Lytechinus pictus: one gene and its partner. The protein of the gene in region 1 purifies or fractionates together with the protein of each later gene. This does not show direct contact. Links are inferred from orthologs where the notes say so. Each region holds a gene or a part of one and is shown in the gene's direction. Other genes may lie near its edges.

Evidence for each region.
Region 2: the proteins of probable E3 ubiquitin-protein ligase IRF2BPL (region 1) and transcription cofactor vestigial-like protein 4 purify together in Homo sapiens (affinity purification with mass spectrometry; 3 studies listed by BioGRID and IntAct, counting the BioPlex papers as one, with this or other methods). This does not show direct contact. The link is inferred for Lytechinus pictus from reciprocal best matches to the Homo sapiens genes IRF2BPL and VGLL4.

The regions. Positions count from the first base shown.
Region 1 is NC_087251.1:17,905,028-17,908,956, reverse strand, and holds the start of probable E3 ubiquitin-protein ligase IRF2BPL, read left to right. Parts: upstream 1-1,329; 5' UTR 1,330-1,800; coding exon 1,801-3,774; 3' UTR 3,775-3,929. UniProt on the Homo sapiens protein: Probable E3 ubiquitin protein ligase involved in the proteasome-mediated ubiquitin-dependent degradation of target proteins. Through the degradation of CTNNB1, functions downstream of FOXF2 to negatively regulate the Wnt signaling pathway.
Region 2 is NC_087247.1:40,156,925-40,160,853, forward strand, and holds the start of transcription cofactor vestigial-like protein 4, read left to right. Parts: upstream 1-997; 5' UTR 998-1,446; coding exon 1,447-1,522; intron 1,523-3,929. UniProt on the Homo sapiens protein: May act as a specific coactivator for the mammalian TEFs.

The DNA.
Region 1 (3,929 bases):
CCTTTATAGTACAATATGGAATACCGTTCTTATATTCATTCGCAATACTAATTACAGGGATAAATGAATTTTGCCTAATGGTAGAAAAGTATATTTCAACGTTATGCTTATTAATTTTAGTCAAAGACGAAATTCCAATTCAGAGTGATATAAACGAAATTTATAAGTCCAGATTATTTTGTTTAATCTGTTTTTGATTGGTGGATTATGTATGGCCGTGTGCGGGTGTGTAGGCTAAGTGGGGTGTAATGGTGTGTAATAATGTATGCTTCATTTATACAGGAGTAAATCGAGTAACAAAAAGTCTGGTGATTGGACAATTGAAAGAAATTGTATGATTCGCATGAGTATAAAGATGGAATAATGTGCATGTAATTCTAGGCTATTACAGCATACAATCTAATTTCATGTTTCGGCCTCATCATCATCGTTGAAAATGTTTTTTTCTCCCCACGACTGAGGATGGAGACGACCTCGTACTTGGTATATAGTCTATACTTTCTTGCAATTGATCCCTGGAGGCAGCGGATCTTTGCTAGTCTTGAGAGCGATATCCGTGGCGAAGTAAGCCCTGAGCGAAGAGATTATAGCTCTGGTTGAAGTTAAATCAAGTGTTGAGATCTTTTTAATGGAGTTTCATGTTTCGAGACTACCACATTTTTGGCGGCAGTTATTTCCGGATTCGATCGCGGAGCGGTGTCGGATGATGGAGTGATCGACACACTCGACGTTACCCGAGTCGACGAGTCGCAGATAGCGTTACGCGGTTCGATTGCTGGTTTTGCAAACTTACTATACCGCCGCCGCGGGCTTAATTCGTGAGCCAATCGCAAGATACAACGATTATATTTTCCCTCTCATTTTTAACTGCTGGGAGATTGATACTGCGAGACCTTTTCTCGAAAAGGGCTTTATAGTTTGCGAGGATTTCGTTACCCGTTGCTACGTGCCTCGGCTAGTATTGATTGGGTTTATGGAATAAGAAAGGTGAGATCCATTCTCAAACACGATTTTTTTTTCATCTGTTGTGATGCTGAGGCTCTGTTTTCCCTTTACAGAGAACCCTCCCCTTCACCTTATCCACTTTGTTCTTATACTTGTTTTGCCAATATATTTATTTTTTGTTAGGCAGTTTGATATGATTCATCCACACCTATCCAAAACCGATGATTATTCCGACAGCCCCACCCCAGAGAAGTGAGCAAGAACTTGCATTTAGCAGAAATACAGAGCTAGCCTGAAGAAAATGACTGTCTTTCAAACCCGCGATGTCGCCCACGCTCCAAAACATATTTAATAATAGCACGGCAGCGTTGAGGCCCCAGTCTTGGCGCTTCCTGTTGCTAATGAATCAGCCTGGGATTATTTTCCCCGGGCACCGCTCCGCCAGTGCGTGTGGGTACTATGATTGTACATTCCACTCCCATACGTCATCAGTATGCTTGAAATGTCATGCCAAGCATACACGGATAGTGCGCATGTGCAGTGTAGGGTGGTTGAGTCCTGTGTGTTTGCTCGGAGCGGTGACTGCTTTACGGACAAACGTGCCAGCCAGATTCAGAGCGAGCAGCAGACGACGCATACATTTCGTTCATAATACTGCCGCGAACTTTGACAAGCGTGAGAATTTGTTTTGCCTCGACGGAGTGAAGTCATGTCACATGCAGAGCTCCGCTGAAATTCTAATACTTTGTAGTCGTGAGTTGTCTGTGAACTGGATGAGTGACATTTTCTCCTCTACTGCTTTCTACATGTGATTATTTAGACACTTTGTCGTGGAGTAAAATATTATTTTGCTACATGTTGCTCTCTCAATCCCATCTCGCCATGCATCGACAGCATTGTTACCTGTGTGATCTACCTCGGGCACCATGGGCTTTGCTGCACGATTTCTCCGAGCCCGTTTGTCGTGGATGTGTGAATTACGAGGGTGCCGATCGCATCGAAAGTGTGATAGAAGGGGCTCGGCAGATGAAGAGAGCACACAGTTTCCAGGATACAAAATCTTACCAGGGACACAAGCCAGGACAGATACCATTGATGCCTCCTCAATCTGTGAGTGTACCACCCCGACCATCTGCACTGGAGAGTGCAAATGTAAATCACGTTGAACCTTCGCCAAGGAATCCACCTGGCTCCGTAACTACACAAATACATGGTGAGAGATTCGTCACTCACGAACCCAGCCGAGCCCGAAGTATTCATGATTTCTCTACAGCCCCAAAGTTTGGATTTCCATCCAGTGAAGATTCCTCTGCGGACGGAAAACTGCTGTGTCGGGGTTCGCTTACACCAGTATCTGCACCTCACATGGCGCCCAACCTCCTCCACCACCTCAACGCACCACCTGTTTCAAGTTCAGTGTTTACCCCAAGGCATACGGTAGCACCTTCTGCAACAGGGAAGACTGCACCACCAACAACCACGCCTGGTAGCGGAACTAAAAGGAGCCTCGCAGATCGCGATAGAGAGGATAAAGAAAGTTCAGCATCCTCACACTCTGATACTGAACGCCGTGTAACACCTGTGGTTGACGATCCCTATGGACAGAAGCCGAGTACTGTTCGGCAAACCTTGGCCACTCTGTCAACGTGTACACCTTTTGAAGTAAGATTTAAAAAGGATCATTCGTTACGAGGTCGCGTCTTTGCTTTTGATGCTGTGTATCGTCCTGGATTGGACTATGAAGTCAAAATATACATTGAATATCCCAGTGGCTCAGGACAGGTATACCCAAGTGCATCAGGGGTTGCCAAACAGATGTATCAGGACTGTGTCAAAGATATCGGTAAGAGCCTTTCTTCTGGTTATAAGTATCTTGAATATGAGAAAAAGCATGGTTCTAATGACTGGCGACCATTGAGTGATTTGCTTCCCGAATCTGTTCGTTATTTCAAGGATATGGTGAGCGTAGAAAGTTTGCCGCAACCTTACATTGATGCCGGTTGTCCAGTTTTACCTATCATGACATCAACCCATGCCTCACGCTCATTTACTCACAAGAACAAGAAATTGAAATCATCACCTGAACCTCCAGAAGGTGATCAAGGGAAGCTAACCGAGGAGCAACAACAGCGACAGCAGTGGATGCAGACCCAGGCTGAAGCTCTGAAACTGACCATGTCAGCAGGTGGGTTTAGTGGCTCTCGCCCACCGAGTACTGCTACGTCTCCCATGAGTAACCCTGCCTCAGCTGGTACACCTCCTGATGGTAGCTCATCCCACGGCGGTCCGTCCCCCATGGCGGCTCTTATGTCTGTTACTGACAATTTGGGCACACCAACCTCGCCAACCAACAAGAGTGATTCTGGATCAACCTCCATGCGGCCACCCAGCAACCCAGCGTCAGGATCCAGTGAGAAGTCACAACGTAGCCCCCACTCTCCAACCACTGCACAGAGAAGAGCTATGTATCGCAGTAAAGAGTTGTCACAGGCTACTGTTCCTCATGGCCAAGAGGCTAGTGTGACCTCGAACACCTCCAATCTACCTGACTCTTCTATGCACATGATTAACATCCTCAAATGTACTCTTTGCCATGAGCGTCTTGAAGACACACATTTTGTCCAGTGTCCGTCCGTTAGCAACCACAAATTCTGTTTCCCCTGCTCAAGGGACAGTATCAAAAAGCAGGGATCTGGGTCAGAAGTATACTGTCCCAGTGGAGCCAAATGTCCGTTAGCCGGTACCAATACTCCATGGGCCTTTATGCAGGGAGAAATCCTTACCATTCTCGGAGAAGAAGTTAAAGTTAAGAAAGAACGGGATTCGTAGACTTGCAAGAATATTCTTAACATTTAGAACAGAATGAGAATATGCTTTTTTATTCTTTTGAATAATTTTCTTTAAGAATCTCATGTTTTGATTGTATATAGTGCATCATATGTTGAAAATTGGTGATACCACTTTTAAGCACTTTAAACTGCCAT
Region 2 (3,929 bases), on another chromosome or scaffold:
AATATAGGATATTTAGAATACATTTTGAAATAATCTATCATCTACCTGTAAGTTTCAGTACCACTCTATTCGGGATTGGGAATAAGTTTGCAAGCACACAAGTATGTAGGCTTGTATTTCTCTCTCCCCTCCAGAGGGATCAGGGGCCCGTAACACAAAGGTTAGCGATTAATCACTAATTTGAAAGAACAGTTTTGATTGGTTCTTTGTCAGTGTACTGAGTAAAATGCGCATTCAATAATGATCTTGATAGGCCACTTCATTAAGCGATTAATCGCTTACCTTTGTGTTCCGGCACCCATATTAATATTTCATTCACTTGTTTTATGCCTGCATGATTAGGAAGGGGAATGCCATTCCTGGTACCAATTTTAGTTCTGCAGTTCTAATGTTTTGTTAAAACTGGTCAAGTGTTGTCACTACACAGGAGGCCTGGTGGGAGCACAAGCGAGCAAGCAGTGGTATTTTGGGGTTGGTCGCAATCCCTGGCATCTGTGGATTCCACTTCCCAGGCTTTGCCATTTCATCTTTCTAGTCTGTGTAAGAAGGCTGCATAAGTGAAGTCTTCAACAAAGAAGAAGGTTTAGCATCGGTTTTTATTGTAATCATAGAATCATATAATATTCATGTTACCTTATCTTCAAGTTCAAGTAGCGCACTGACTCCCAGTGAGCAACAGCAATTGATCCAGTCAGGTTTAAACAAGCTCCATAACATAAATAACTTTTTTGGTACTAAATGAGATTACAAAAATTGTTTTATATTGATAACAATTTTATTTTCATAATGAAGATGGTTAATGCTATCATTAGCCTATTGAACAGTATCTCGCCTTTGAACATTTCAAATCATTTTGATTCAAAATTTAATGTTAGAGGTCCACTTTCTGTTACATTTTTTTTACAAGTCCATACTCCATGATCCATTTCTGATAAAGACCGGTATGGGGAACCAAGACTATCAAACAAGTTGATGCCTGTAAGAATTTTGTTTCATTACTTGCAAGGGATGCTCGCAGAAGATGCCGGCTCCTGATTGGATGTTCAGTGCCATGGTTAGTTAGACTGATGAGTGGTAGTAGTAACGGTGGTGGTTGGATCAGAACTTTGGGACGGAACCACAGATCAAGTGTGTGCCAGTGCTAGAAGATGCTGATGGAATGGTCGGTAGTGTGTTTTTGATTGAATTCTTTGAGGGATCCACTTCCTGCGACCTGTTTCAATCTCTGTGGGTGTACGTTGTGACTTTGATATTCCTGGAGCCAAGAGTATCTCCTGTTCGCAACTAGTCTGTGGTGATTCTTTCATCACAACTTGCTGTGGATCATCCAGACCACAAGTTAAAGACCATTTAGACCAAGATCTTGGGTTCAGTTGACCTGGCCAATCTCTGGCCCTTGTGTTTTATATCTTCTAGAAACCTCACCTTTGTTCTTGAAGTGGCAAGATGGAAACAATGAGCTATGCGCCATTCTTGACATGTTTCAATGCTTTCCATCTTCCCTACTTATCTCCTCCAACAGGTAGGTTAACCCTTTGACAACTAAATTATCTTATTTTCATAGGGAGACTAGAGGGGACGACAAAGACATACATGTAGTCCTAGATTCCCATACATGTACATTGTTGTTGCTGATGGGTTCAAATAGTGGAAATACTTACTCTGGGTTTTTTTAAATGTCATTTATCGAGTCAATATATTTAAATTTATATTTCTTTCATTGTATTTTGCATAGAAGTTTATTAAATATAACTGAAAATTGTTTATTATTAGCTTATAGTAACTTGATTTACAAACAAGCAAATGCATGTATTCTTACGATAATAAATAAACGGTTCTTGTATAGTGCATATCACATCTCTATTTGCTTCCAAATTTAATAGGGACATGGATATCATTACCTCAGCGTTATTGTTTTTATGCATTTTATTGTTCAGTGTTCAGGATTTGCTTTGCAGCAGGGCACTAAACAAAACTTCAAAAGCTAACGGGCAAATTGCTCCTCAGATTTCTAAAAAAAAAAAGTGTTACATGTAACTGGTACGGGGACAAAGTTAATCGCGCATGCGTCTGGTGTTCACCACGTCATTTAGTGTCAACTCGACAAAACATATGCCTCTAGCTAGTTTACTTGTAGGGAGTGAAATGTGAATATTAATTATTATTTAAGCAGGGATTTTTTTTTGTGTGTGTCATCTTTCCTTATTTCTTTCAGTAAAATTATGATTTTGTTACTTCTGGGCCCCATCTTACAAAGAGTTACGATTGATCCAATCAATCCCAACTATGGAAAGCCAGCAACGACAACGCCTAAAATACATGTTTCTTCAAAATATTTTCTAGTTATGAGTATATATTCATACATTAACTGTTTTCTTGATAATACAGTATGCTTCTCTTTGTTTTCAAAGGAAATTGTGCAAATTTCCTAAAGAAAAAAATTGTGACACTGATGGATTTCCATAGAGTTACGATCGATTGGATCAATCATAACTCTTTGTAAGACGGGGCCTAGATAGTTTATTTTGGACCTTAAACTAGCCCAGGGCTACTTTCTTGAAATCAAGAACAAGTGGGGCAAAAAGAGTGTCAAATCCAAAATGGATGGGGGCAAGCCCCTGTCCACAACAGTCTACAGAGTACTACTTTGCAGGATCCAGGAATGGATTTGAAATTTCCTTTTTATTTTCTAGAATTTGAATGTTAATATACTTGAAAGAAGTTGGTTGCCCCAAAATATAGTGCCTTCCAGGCAAAACTAAAATAATTGTAAAAATGGATGGTTATGTACATTTTCATGTGTACATGTGAGTTTTAGATATATTGAAATAGACAAGTGCCTAGCTTTAACTATCTATGCATTCACTCTCGCTACTGGAGTTGGAAGATAAGATGCATAAATTAGCTCTTTTTTCATGATTGAAAAAGATGACTCATTTTTTTTCAGCGTCACTGTTGCCAATGTGTCTGTCTCTCCTCGTCAGATGGCAACTTGGAGAGGTGGAACAAGAAATAAGAGAAAAGAGATTCATAATTGATGCATACCGATGCGGAGAGTGGATGATAGGTGGATGCTGCTACATGAGCAATGTGTATGACAGTTTGTGTGTCTGCATGTCTATTGATGTATGTGTATGGGTGTGCTTTAACTCTGCATGCACCATACATGTACAGAAATTTTCATGAATGAAATGGAATATATACTGTCTGCCAGACAAAATCGCAAAATAAGCATCTCTTGTAGATTTTAACTCAAATGATAAACTCTACAACTGCTCAATGTAGAATATGTGCGATAATGATTGAGAATGATTGATCTGCACTCGACCATACAGTGTACACACAACCATAGGGATTTCAAATTTTACATTCAAGTACCAACCATGCTTTTTAGTTTGCTGGTGTATTGAATATATATGAATATATTTACTGTACTATAAGCCACATGTATACTATTTTGAAATCTCGTATTAGAAATGGTCCATATGTGTTTGATATATTTTGTTGCATTGCATTTACTATTGTAATGCATTATGCATCCATTTTGATCATACAAAACCAGAAAATGATGATGATCATGCACTTGATGAACTAATATATAATTGGTCTATGGATTAAAGGGAAGGAATATTGGGGTTATTAAAAGGAGCCAATTGTAAAATATAAATAAATATATATATCATGATGCCTCCCGATGGGCTCTGGTAGCTTTACTTGTCTTAATTGTGGAAATCTAAAAACCAGTATGATGAAGGGGAGAAAATTATAGATTCCTCTGGGTAATCCTTGAATATTTTGAGGGTGTAGATGGACATGGCATTTGTTCTCTCTGCACAACGTTTAGCAGAAGAATTTGCTCAGTTACACCAGGGAGTTTGGATAGAACTCCTTGATTACACTACCTACTTTACATGTACATGTATGTAATG